Arabidopsis thaliana: one gene and its partner. The protein of the gene in region 1 interacts with the protein of each later gene in a pairwise test. Each region holds a gene or a part of one and is shown on either strand. Other genes may lie near its edges.

Evidence for each region.
Region 2: the proteins of NIR1 (region 1) and MDAR6 interact in a two-hybrid assay, tested with the Arabidopsis thaliana proteins (one large-scale study listed by BioGRID).

Annotation. Positions count from the first base shown.
Region 1 is NC_003071.7:6,808,462-6,813,523, reverse strand, and holds NIR1 (nitrite reductase 1), read right to left. Parts: upstream 3,130-5,062; 5' UTR 2,973-3,129; coding exon 2,597-2,972; intron 2,401-2,596; coding exon 2,046-2,400; intron 1,965-2,045; coding exon 1,676-1,964; intron 1,599-1,675; coding exon 858-1,598; 3' UTR 583-857; downstream 1-582. UniProt on the Arabidopsis thaliana protein: Catalyzes the six-electron reduction of nitrite to ammonium.
Region 2 is NC_003070.9:23,728,208-23,734,633, reverse strand, and holds MDAR6 (monodehydroascorbate reductase 6), read right to left. Parts: upstream 4,760-6,426; 5' UTR 4,540-4,759; coding exon 4,530-4,539; exon of another isoform or gene 4,440-4,529; coding exon 4,265-4,439; intron 4,188-4,264; coding exon 4,088-4,187; intron 3,996-4,087; coding exon 3,918-3,995; intron 3,719-3,917; coding exon 3,647-3,718; intron 3,497-3,646; coding exon 3,378-3,496; intron 3,264-3,377; coding exon 3,179-3,263; intron 3,058-3,178; coding exon 2,968-3,057; intron 2,808-2,967; coding exon 2,706-2,807; intron 2,594-2,705; coding exon 2,504-2,593; intron 2,373-2,503; coding exon 2,292-2,372; intron 2,162-2,291; coding exon 2,090-2,161; intron 2,007-2,089; coding exon 1,912-2,006; intron 1,820-1,911; coding exon 1,731-1,819; coding exon of another isoform or gene 1,717-1,730; exon of another isoform or gene 1,644-1,716; coding exon 1,581-1,643; intron 1,482-1,580; coding exon 1,441-1,481; intron 1,220-1,440; coding exon 1,100-1,219; 3' UTR 660-1,099; downstream 1-659. Other genes in the region: ROH1 (uncharacterized protein), read right to left, coding at 5,460-6,426. UniProt on the Arabidopsis thaliana protein: Catalyzes the conversion of monodehydroascorbate (MDA) to ascorbate, oxidizing NADH in the process.

The DNA of each region.
Region 1 (5,062 bases):
AGAATCTTGTAGACCATTCGTTGCTCAATTCTGAGTAAGAAAAGAATAAAGCCTTCATTCCCATGTTGGCACCATAATCTGGTAACGATGAAGGTGCCTCTTTAAGATCGTGAATTGTGTTGAGTGGAGCTTTGGTGGCCGGCGTAGAACAGTTCAGGAGAGTGTGTTTTGCAACTGATCTGCCCTCTTGCTATGTCGCGTGTTCCAGAGTTTAATAATTATGATGGTTCAAATTTCAACGACGGACTAGGTAATTTCGATCGACGGTTCAACTCAAGATGGCGGTGATGAGTCATATCGGCATCTTTTCTCATCCAACATGCGCAAGAACAGATAATTAAACACGTGTCCCTTCTAAACCTAGTTTAATCTCAAGTTGTAATCTTTCTATTGGGTTTGTAGTTGGACTTTATAATTGTGTTGTTGGGCTTTATTTACCATGTACTCTTTCTTAAAAATTAATGAAATTGACGTTAAAAAAAAAACAATTTAATTTATTAATAATCTTTTAAGAATATTATCAATATATTTTATTAATTAAAATCTATTCCCTTAACTTTTGATATATCAAAAACAAAAATATTGGAGGTAAAAAGAAACAAATGTTTATTTCTTATAAATATCACAGAGAAATCAAGACAATATATGACAAAAAATCAGATTATACTACTATTACTAAAAAACAAGATATTACAAAACAACCAAGGACAAAGTTACAGGTTACAACAAAGGAGAGAGCTACAAAACCCAAAATTATGGGCACAATACAAATACAAGTATCAAGTATCAAAGTCTGAAACCAGAGAGAGAACCATTCATAGGTCTCTTGACTTATTAAGAATCCAATAGCTTTTGAATCAATCTTCATTCTCTTCTCTTTCTCTAGGCACAGCACCAAATTCTTTGATCAGAATCTCAGCCACCAATGGAACCAACTCCGTGACACGAACACCTTTCTTATAGATCTCTCCGATATGCGAGTCACTTCCTATTCGTCCCCCGACGTACACGTCAGCACCCTCGACTGGCTTTCCTTCCTCGCCTCGTGTTAAGCATCCCATGAATCCGATATCTGCTACTTGGACTTGTCCGCAAGTGTTGGGACATCCTGTCCAATGCATCCTTATCGGTCTTGGCACAGATACAAGTCTCTCTACTTCTTCTGTCACTTTTAAAGCTCTTAGCTTAGTCTCGATTATCGCTTGTCCGCAGAACTGGCTACCGGTACAAGCAACTAAGCCTTTCATTAGGATAGATGGTTCAGGGGAGAAACGGTTCTTGAGAAACGGCTCTTGAAGCAAAGCTTCGGTTTTCGAGGTTTCTACATTTGGGATGATGATGTTTTGCTCTACTGTGAGTCTTAGCTCACCTGACCCGTAGGTATCAGCTAACCGAGCAAGCTCATCCATGTCATCAGCTTGTAGCCTACCAACCGGAACGTGAAGCCCCACGAAGCTAAGACCTTCTTGTTTCTGAGGGTTGACTCCGAAATAGTCTCTCCTCTCCCACTGTTTGTTCACAAGATCCTCTGAAGATCCTCTCTCGAGTTTCCCATTTGGCATTCTCTTCTCTACCTCAGTTCTAAATCCTTCAACACCCTATACATTTCATGCAGACAAATCAACAACCAAGAACTTCAATACCGAATTTAAGATTGCAAGAAGCATGTACTTACAAGTTCGTCGATAAGCCACATCATTCTTGTCTTCTGTCGGTTTCCTCGAGTTCCAAGATCTCTGTAAGCCTCTAGAACAGCTTTGCAGAGTGGAAGAACGTCATCAGCAGGGACCCAAGCATCAAGAGGAATCGCTTCTTCACATCTTTTGGGACTAAAGAATCCTCCCACAAGCAAATTGAATCCAAACCGTCCATCTTTATTAGCAGGCATGTAGGCCAAATCATTGATATGTGGATGCTCATAGAGATCATGAGTCCCCACCACACACACATTCCACTTTCTTGGCCTACAACAAACAAACAAAAACCCATCTTAGCATAACCATTCACTCACCAACACACAACATCAATCTAAAAAGAGAACTCACAAGTTGGTGAAATCGGGGTTTCCTTGTGAATTAGCGGTGATAAACTGCGAAAGGAGATTCGTGTAAGGCCTCGTGTCAACAATCTCCTCCGGATCAATCCCAGCTATAGGATTCCCAACCGGGTTCCTCACGTTATCCATACCACTTTGAAGACTCGTTAAACCAACAGAAGCAAGACCTTTCAAGATCTCAGGCACATCAGGCAACACAACACCACGGATCTGCCAATTCTGTCTAGTAGTCACATCAGCACACCCATCTTCACCATACTTCCTAATCACACTCGCTAAATACCGAGTCTGTGCACTTGTAGTCACACCATTTGGTAACTTCAACCTCATCATAAACTTCCCATCTACAACAACAAAATCAACAACAAGCACTCATAAATCAAAATGTACTAAAGATAAAGAGTAAAGACTAAACCTTTACACAATCTGGTCACCAATTTAATCACAAGTCATTGAAAGAAGCACACATAAGACTAAAGACGAAACCTTTACACAGTTCAATCACAAGTCAATGGAAGAGGATAGAGAGGAGGAACATACACTGATGCTTTCTACGGTGAAAGAGACCAAGCCACTTGAGTCTAACATCAATATCATCTTTAGAAGACTTTTCACTATCAAGCTCTTCCATAGATTTCTTAGCAAGCTCTTCAATACCATTCTCCATAAACAACTTCATGGGCTCTCTCTCGATCTTAACCTTCTCCTGAGGATTGATCCCTTTTCGAAACTTCTCCTTGAGAATAAAAAAACCATCTTTCAACTCAACTCTTGGCTCGAGACGATCTGCGTCAACAGAGGCGGTGGATTCGGCCGGAGCTGTGGTCTGAGCGGCGGCGACAAGGACGGATCTTTTGGGTTTGGTGGAGGAGGAAGGGAGGAGAGGAGATGTGAAAGTGAGAGAGAAAGAAGTCATGATGATGGCGGAAGAAGGAGTTGGGAGAAGGTTGGAGACGTGCGGCCATTTTTGTAGAGGGAAGAGATGAGCTCTTGAGCAATGTAAAGGGTCAAGTTGTTTCTCTTTGATCGTATGTTGCGAGGAGGAAACAGACACCTTCTGATTTCTATTTGTTTTATTCTTTCTAAATTTATTTGAAACTATTTAAATTGTGTTTATTTATACTATATGATTCACTTAGTCTATTGACTTCATTTTTTTGTCATAGAAAATTAATTAAAACTCAAAACAAAACTTAAAATGTTATTTACAAATGTTATGATATGGTAGGATTGTTTGTTTTAATATTTGTACTATAAAAAACTAAAATTAAAAAAAAATATATTAATTCTTCAATGTCGTTTTCAAATACACTCAGAAGACCAACCATTTGGTTGGAAAAAAACTATTTTTATCATATCTGAACAGTCTGTAAAAAATATGACATATTAGTTATTGACACCGACCATACACTTCATTAATAATAAAAGAGATTCGATTTTTGCATGTAGGGAGATAGATTTCATATTAAGTTTGTCACTCCCATACTAAAGAGAAATACTAAAGAGAAACATTGGAAAAAAAATTAGCAGTGATTAGTATGAGATATTTATTTCATAATTTGAATGTTTATAGTATTATTACTTTTTAATTTTTTAATATATTTAAAAAATGATAACTACATACATATATGAATTTCAATGAATAGGATAACATCCAAGTTTCCGCATATTACATACTACAAAAAAATACAACAATTTTCATATTCATACTTTAGTATTCTTAAGTTTTAATCACTACTAATTATGAATTTATGGTAATGTTGCTTAACATATGTTCTTTTCAACTATATTTGTTGATCTTAATCTAACTCTGTTTTTTTTTTAAATGGTTTCCTCTTGAGATGTTAATTTTTGGTTTAGTGCGTGTTTGGAAAAAAGGTTTATTAGAGAAGATTCAAGGTTGATGTGGTCATTAGGGATTTTATAGATATCATTTTTCACAAAATATAATAAGGTAAAAAAGGTTGATGTGCTCATTAGGGATTTTATAGGTATCATTTTTCACAAAATATCATAAGGTAAAAATATCTTGATTAAACAACTAAGACAAGTTGTGTAGCATTTAGTCGTGTGCAATTATGAATGGACTACTTTAAATAAAATAAATGTAAATATTAATAATATGTTATCAGAGCCATAGGTGTTCTTTAGCGTTATTCTAGAGACATGAATCAAACTACCTGCAGGTTCAAACATCATCGCAAGTCGCAACGTCTTCTTTCTTGTCCACACCAAAACGTTAGCATTGTCTTTTTTTTTCTAATTTATATTTCTTTTCTATAGATTATTCGCACAATCGTTTTCAACTTATATGTATCATCTTCCTGCAATTTAGTATACATCGAGGTGACAACATTATGTTTGGTTATTAAAATTCATATATTGTCATTTTTAATTATATAAAAAATTAACAAAATTTATACTATAAACATTCAAATTATGAACTAAATATCTCATATTAATCACTGCTATTTTTTATGTTTATATGAATTTGCATATCCATACATATTATAGTACATAAAACATTTATACTATGAACATTTATAGCTTTTTTGTACATATATGAATTTCAATGAATAGGCTTGTTATAATTTTGTTATTTTTTTCTGAATTGTTTATGGCTTTAGGGTTAATTATCCAAAATTTAACATTTATTTAGAAATTAAAATAAAATTTAGCTTACAAAGAATTAATTTATCATATTGGAATTGAAAAATAGCTAGTGGCTCTTGTAGCTTTTAAAATCTTAAGGACATAACGTATGACTTCTCACGATGTCTAAGAAACAAAACCTTCCCCGGTTCGGCCTAAACCGCCATCCATCCAAATTATTCTCCACCGCTATTCCACGTGTGGCTTCCACACTCCTGTTCCTATAGTCCGGCTTACTAAATATCTATCACATCTTCGACGTAAATAATTGACCACGTGAATTAATATATCCATAAATCAACTTGACAAACTAACAAAAACTACAACCTGAAATATTTCACACACGACACATCC
Region 2 (6,426 bases), on another chromosome or scaffold:
AGAAAAACGAACGTGGAGTTCACTCGCGACAAGTGCGTCTGGTTTTTCATCTTTCACTTTACTTTTGTTGGTCTTACTTTGGTTCTTAGTCAAAGTGGTGAAATGCTGATGATGCACTGACGGTCGATAATTACTAATTGTTTCTAACTTTTTTTTTATTAGTCATATACCAATTTCAAATTTGTTATTAGTGAAAGAGTCATTCAATGCCTTTTTCTGTTATTGGATTTGGCATCAATTGTTTTTTTTAGTTTTACCAACATTACACGTTTGTTTGCATTTTGCAATATTTCACCCATTAAAAACCGAGGGTGTTGTTTTTGCAAAACAATGGTCTCTTGTGTTAATCCAAGAATGATGTCATATTAAAATATAGATCGAGTTAGAGAAGAGTTTATAACAGTTTTGACATCTTGGCCGAATGATTTCCCCTATCAATGATGAACCTTGGCTATCATAGATATTTACCAACCACAAGGTTCTGCAGAATCACGATTTTTTTAGTTTGTTATTCCCACCATTCCGCAAATTTATACGATTTTGCAACATTCATAACCAATCATAAAAGCCCAACCTATCATAGATTCATAACCACTTTGACACTTTCTCAATTGTAGAACTCATAGGCAGTAAATAAATTTCTATGGCGTATGAAACGCGTTTAGGCTACAAAAACCTTTTTACATGTCGCAATCAATCCCACAAGACTCTATTACGTGCCGCAAAACAAATCCTTGCGTGAATTATAACAAAGTCTTCATTATTGTTTATACAAATTTCGTTTATGGTTTACAGTCGATAAAAGAAATCTAAATAAATAAATATTTTAATGATCCACGAAACAACCCATAGATCATGAGAAAACGATCTTTATCTATCTCAGTGACTAACATAGATTTTATTAGAAACAAAGCTCTCTAATGAGCAAAATATGATTATCCCAAAAAGAGGTTATAAATTATTCGAGGAGATTATTGACAACAGTGCTCTCTATAGATCATTTTTCCAATGGAAAGATGAATAACTCTCACCGGGAATAAAAGATGTTGATTTCTCTGAACCCAAAAGCTATTAAAAAAACTCCATGAAGTTTCCTTCTCTAACTCTGTAGAGCGGCTTGAGCAATCTCGAGAGCTTCTTCGACTGAAGATGCGCTTGCGAGTTTAGCCTTATCGACAAGTGGTTGGCTTCTTGCTAGCTTTGGTAGAAGCTGGAACTCCTGTTTCAAGAGATATACATAACAATGGAAGCAATTAAAATCCATATAGTTAACATATTTACATGAAAACAAAACCCATGCTGATGTAATTGCTATTGTCAAGTTTCAATGACCGTTCCAAAATATTCTAATTTTAGTCTCGCAGATCTAAAGAAGCATGATGCTCTAAAGATTGGCTAATTCAGAATGTTAACGAGGGAGATGCTAAGAAAGACTCTTACCTCAGGCGATCCGCTTTCTACTAGAACACCTTTCAACCTGCCTGTGTTACGATAATTACTCATCAAAGTTAGTTAATTTGCTAAGCTGTGTATTTGTGCAAGGTTAACTGAAGTGAGAAAAGGCTGAAGGAATTATTTACCAGATTCAATCCAGAAGGTAGCGATTTTCGGGTCAAAGTTCCCAACCTCCACTGTTTCTCCCACTGGCCAGTATGAATCAGTGGTTTAGCTACAGTGGAAATATTGTTTGAGTAATTGGATGGCGTCATATTTAGGTCAAATAGATTTACCATTATCTCCGAAAAACTGCCACCACACTTTTCTTGGGCTTCCTTCATACTCGAATACTCTTGAGTAGAAATATGGAAGATAATCGTACCTGCAAATATTGAGCAAGACAAGAACTAATAGGTGAATATCCGTTAAGGGATACAGGCAAAGTCTACAGATCTTTCCAGGGAAGAAGCTTACGTGTCAGTGTGTGCCGTGAGTAGTGATTTCACACAGTGTTGTGCAGAGCGGCGGGCGTGATCAACATGTTCAACTCGAGTCATCCTATCATATATCTGGTCATCAGACAATAAGATGATGAGTTTGCACTTCACGAGATAATTGATGGCTTAACATATATTATCTAGCAGCAAAGTACCTTCAAAGGGAAGGCTGCGACATCTCCAATAGCAAAAATTCCAGGGGTACTTGTCCTGAACAAGCCATCGACCTGTGGTTGAAGATGAGCTCTTATCAAACTTTTAATTGTATCAACATACTGATGTAGTTTCTTGTGAAGTTCTAACTCTGAAAACCGATTATCTTGGAAAATAAATCCGGATGTTTTGTAATAATAATACCTGAATTCCTCCAATTGATTTGTTCATGGCCAAAGTTTCAAAGGGGCCAATAGCAGGCTTAGCTCCAATTCCAATTACAACCTGTAAAGTAAGGATACACAGGTCGTACAAAAGTCAGTATTACATTGACCCTTCACAGTTTTCATTTGATCAAAGTTGTTGAATTTGCATCATTTGAGAAAGAAAAAAGTGAAGCTGAGCTACAACTATACCGTGTCTGCCTCAATTGTAGACCCATCAGCAAGCTTAACAGCTGATACACGCCCATCCGAACCTGCTTCCAAGTTATTTATGGAAGCGCCCTGTTCAACAGAAAGAGAAATTCAAGTTTGCACACTGTGTTTCTGAAATTCTTAGGTTTGCAGGAAAGCAAAGGCTTCAGTATAAGGTGTTGATCGTGTGCTGATATCTTACCTTGACAAACTTAACACCATTTTGACGGTACAGTTCTTCATATTTCTGAGCAAGCGATGGAGTGAACAATCTTTGCAAAAGCTGATCTTCAGGGAATACAATCTATTGTTCCACATGGGAAAGCCCAAAAGCAACTGTAAGTTAGTACATCTGTTCCACAATTTATCTGAACGTTTCTAGGAATTTGTTTAACTCATCGAATGATTAGAAGTATTCTTCATTTCTAGCACAATTTAAAAATTCAAGTGAAAGGGATAATAACCGTTGTATCTAGATTCCACGCAACAGCTGCAGCAGCAACCTCCATGCCGATGTAGCCACCACCAACAATGACAATTTTCTTTGCCTTTCCCTGTATCACATATTGGAAGGTTATTTTGTAGCCAGGAAATTTGGATTTTTCTGATGACGCATATTACAACATTGCATTAAGATGACAAAACTGGTAACTGGTAAAAATGCCCTTAGCTTACCAGAGATGCTATCAGTGAATCAGCATCTGCAACCTCCCGAATATAGTGAACCCCTGGCAAGTGCCCACCGATTTTATCTGGGAACCTACAATAAAAATCCAGAGCAAATATTCATAATATCAGTATACATGGTTGAAAAGGCCTAGGTTCTCTGATGTTGTTTATCAATCATTGCAAAAAAAATGCGACTTTCACTCACCTTGAGGCTGTACACCCTGTAGCGATAATTAGAGATCCATATTTTAACTGCTTCCCTGCGTCTGTGGTGAGTGTTTGCTTTTCAAAATCAGCTCCAGCCACTGGATCTTCATATATTACCTGTCCAAACAAAATGCATTAGTAAGACACAAGAGAAGACCACAAATTCACCGACGTACATTCCAAGCTGTACAGTTAATCAAACCAAAGACACTTCACTTACATTCATATATTTTAGAAAACAAAACTATGTATCAGAAGATGAATTACCTCAATTCCTTTCTCCTTATACCAATCTGGTGTTTGCCTTTCTCCACCACCTCCAACGCAAGTATGAAATCCCTGCATATACGACCACCCTCAATATAAACAGAGATCACAAAACTAAATCATACAAATCTTCATATCAGTAACAATCGTAACACTGTAAACAATCTACCGGTACTCATTCCATAATGTTCATGTAGCCAATTAAGAGCAATAGCACTAAAAGAACCACTCAAATTGATCGAATCAAAACATTAAAGTTGGCAAAGCTTACTGGTAAACGAGCTGGCTTCTTCTCTGGTGGGAACAAGTAAGCTTTTGTCAAAGCCGGTCTCTCATAAGGTGCGTAAGCCTAACAATAACAACCACAAATCCAACAATCAAACAAAGTAAAACCAATAGTGTTACTGATGAAGAAAACACTAAGGGATCGATTTGAATCACCTCTTTGGTCACAATGCATAGCCGACCATCAGCCATTCCATTTTCCACAAAAGTTCTAGCAGCATAACCAGCAGCATTTCCTCCACCAACAATCACAAACCTAACACAATCACACAATCAATCGCATAGAAATTCATCAACGCCAGAATCAAAATTGGAAGAATTATATATACGAACTCGCGATTCTCGTTAGCGAACGAAGCAGTGACGAGGCTTCTGGAAGCGATTCTAGAACCGATCGGAGAAAAACGAGCGGGAAATCGGCGAGCGAGAGACGGAGAAGACGGACACCAAAGAGATAATCCGGACTTCGTCGGCAACGTGGTTGATGCTAACGCCATGACTCTACGAACTGTAACAACAGATTAGAGAGATAAGATTTCGATCTAGGGTTTTGACAATCGAGGAAGAAGATGGTGGTGAGTGAGAGAGATAAGAAGACCTGCAGACATTAGTTTATAAGAAGAGCCAAATTCAGATTTAATTATTGAAACAAGTGTGTGAGTCTCTCTGTAGTGTTGGCTCTATAACAAAGCTAAAGGGCAATGAGAGTAGTTTGAAATTTGTGAAAAGAGAGATGATTTATTGTAAAAGATGGGTAGTGAAGAATGGAGCTGACTTGTCTTGTTGCTTTTGATTCATTTGTCTTTTGACTCCGAATTTTAATATCTTTATTGACATTTAGGCTTTCAATAGAACTTGCAAGTTAATGGAACTAAACCATTAGCAGATTACACCATTCTATTTTTAGGATGGAAAACAATTCGTCGCGGACGAAGCTTATTTTTAAGTTAAAATGGTAGTTGGTCTGTGGGGATTTTTATTTTATTTTCCTAGGACAACAATCCCTAATGCATAATGTTTTACGATACCATTGTAAGGGAGCTAGAGTTAAGAGGATTTGATTGAAGTTAGTCACTCTAGCCATAATGATTTATGTTATGTCCTTCAAGCAGATTATTTCATGGATTACATAGAGGTTGTTATGCTCTTGTAGTTTAAGAGAGTTTGATGATTTAGATTTGATACAAAAAAATTGTCAACTTTTGCAGATAAAAGATGATTTTAACTTTTAAAATCCTCCATTTGCCTTCTTTGATCTCACATTCTCACTTGTGAAAGCTTCGGAGCCGTAACTAAAGGGTTCCTTCAAAAATTTAAATTGTTTTTGGATATTATGCATTAATTTAACAAAATGAAAAATGAAAAATATAAGGAGAAGGGAAAACATATGACATGGGCCTGTCCAGAGTTCTAAAAGCCCAACCATAAATAGAAAAACAACAATAGACGAAACCAAGAAAATAAAATATCCTATTAGCCCCCAAAGAATTACAAAACTTCGAAATTGATTCCCAATAATTCAAAACTTTTACACAACTGGCGCCGAAACTTTCCCGGCTTGCTCCAACACCTCGAGAATCTCCGCACGACTCCTCACGATCCTATGAAAAACTTCTCTGATCTGTTGCTGTAACGGCACAAGCTCCTCCTCCATTCTCCTGCATATCTCCGCCATCTCCGCCACTTGCACCGCCGCAGATTCAGCAGCATCTTTCTCCGCCGGATAATGAAATCCATCTGCGAATTCCATCAACGAGTGACCTAGCTTCTCCATCCTCGTCATCTCCTCCATCAATCCAGCAGATCCTTTCTTCTCTTTCTTCTTCCACTCATCTCCGATTTTCTCATGGATTCCGATCAAACTCTGAGCCCAATTCAAATGTTTCGGCGGCACTGGTAAATGATTCGCTAATCCTGATCTCTCCTGACACGGAACCGCCGCCGTTAGCACCCACATTACGAAAACCATCACCGTACTCATTATAAACATTGGTTGAGGCAATCCCGCCGCTTCGTTACCACGTGGCGGCGTAAGATTCGCTGTCATTGCGTGGATCTGCTTCGCCGCCGACCAATTTCTCCCAACCGCCCACGACGACGATTTGAGCTGACCAATCGTTGCTCCTCCTTTACTCGCCGCCGATGATCCACCGCTTCGACGACCAAACGACCACGATCTCTCCGTCGTCTTATTCCCTCCGCCGCCGCCACCACCTCCGCCGCTAACATTCTCTTTATCCTCGAGACTCAACGCGACGACGAGATTCGCCAACGCGCGTTTAGCTCTCCTCACGTTACCGTCACCTAACGGACGTTGCTCCAAAGCCGTCACAGCAATCTCAGCTAAACGCTGGTAATGTCTAACGGAATCGATACCGTTAACAACGGCGGTACAAATGTCAAGCGCTTTAATCGACCGGTCTAACATTTCAGGAACTAACCGGTCAAAAGGCGGCTTAGAAATCTGGGTCGGGTCACGACCCATTAACAAAATC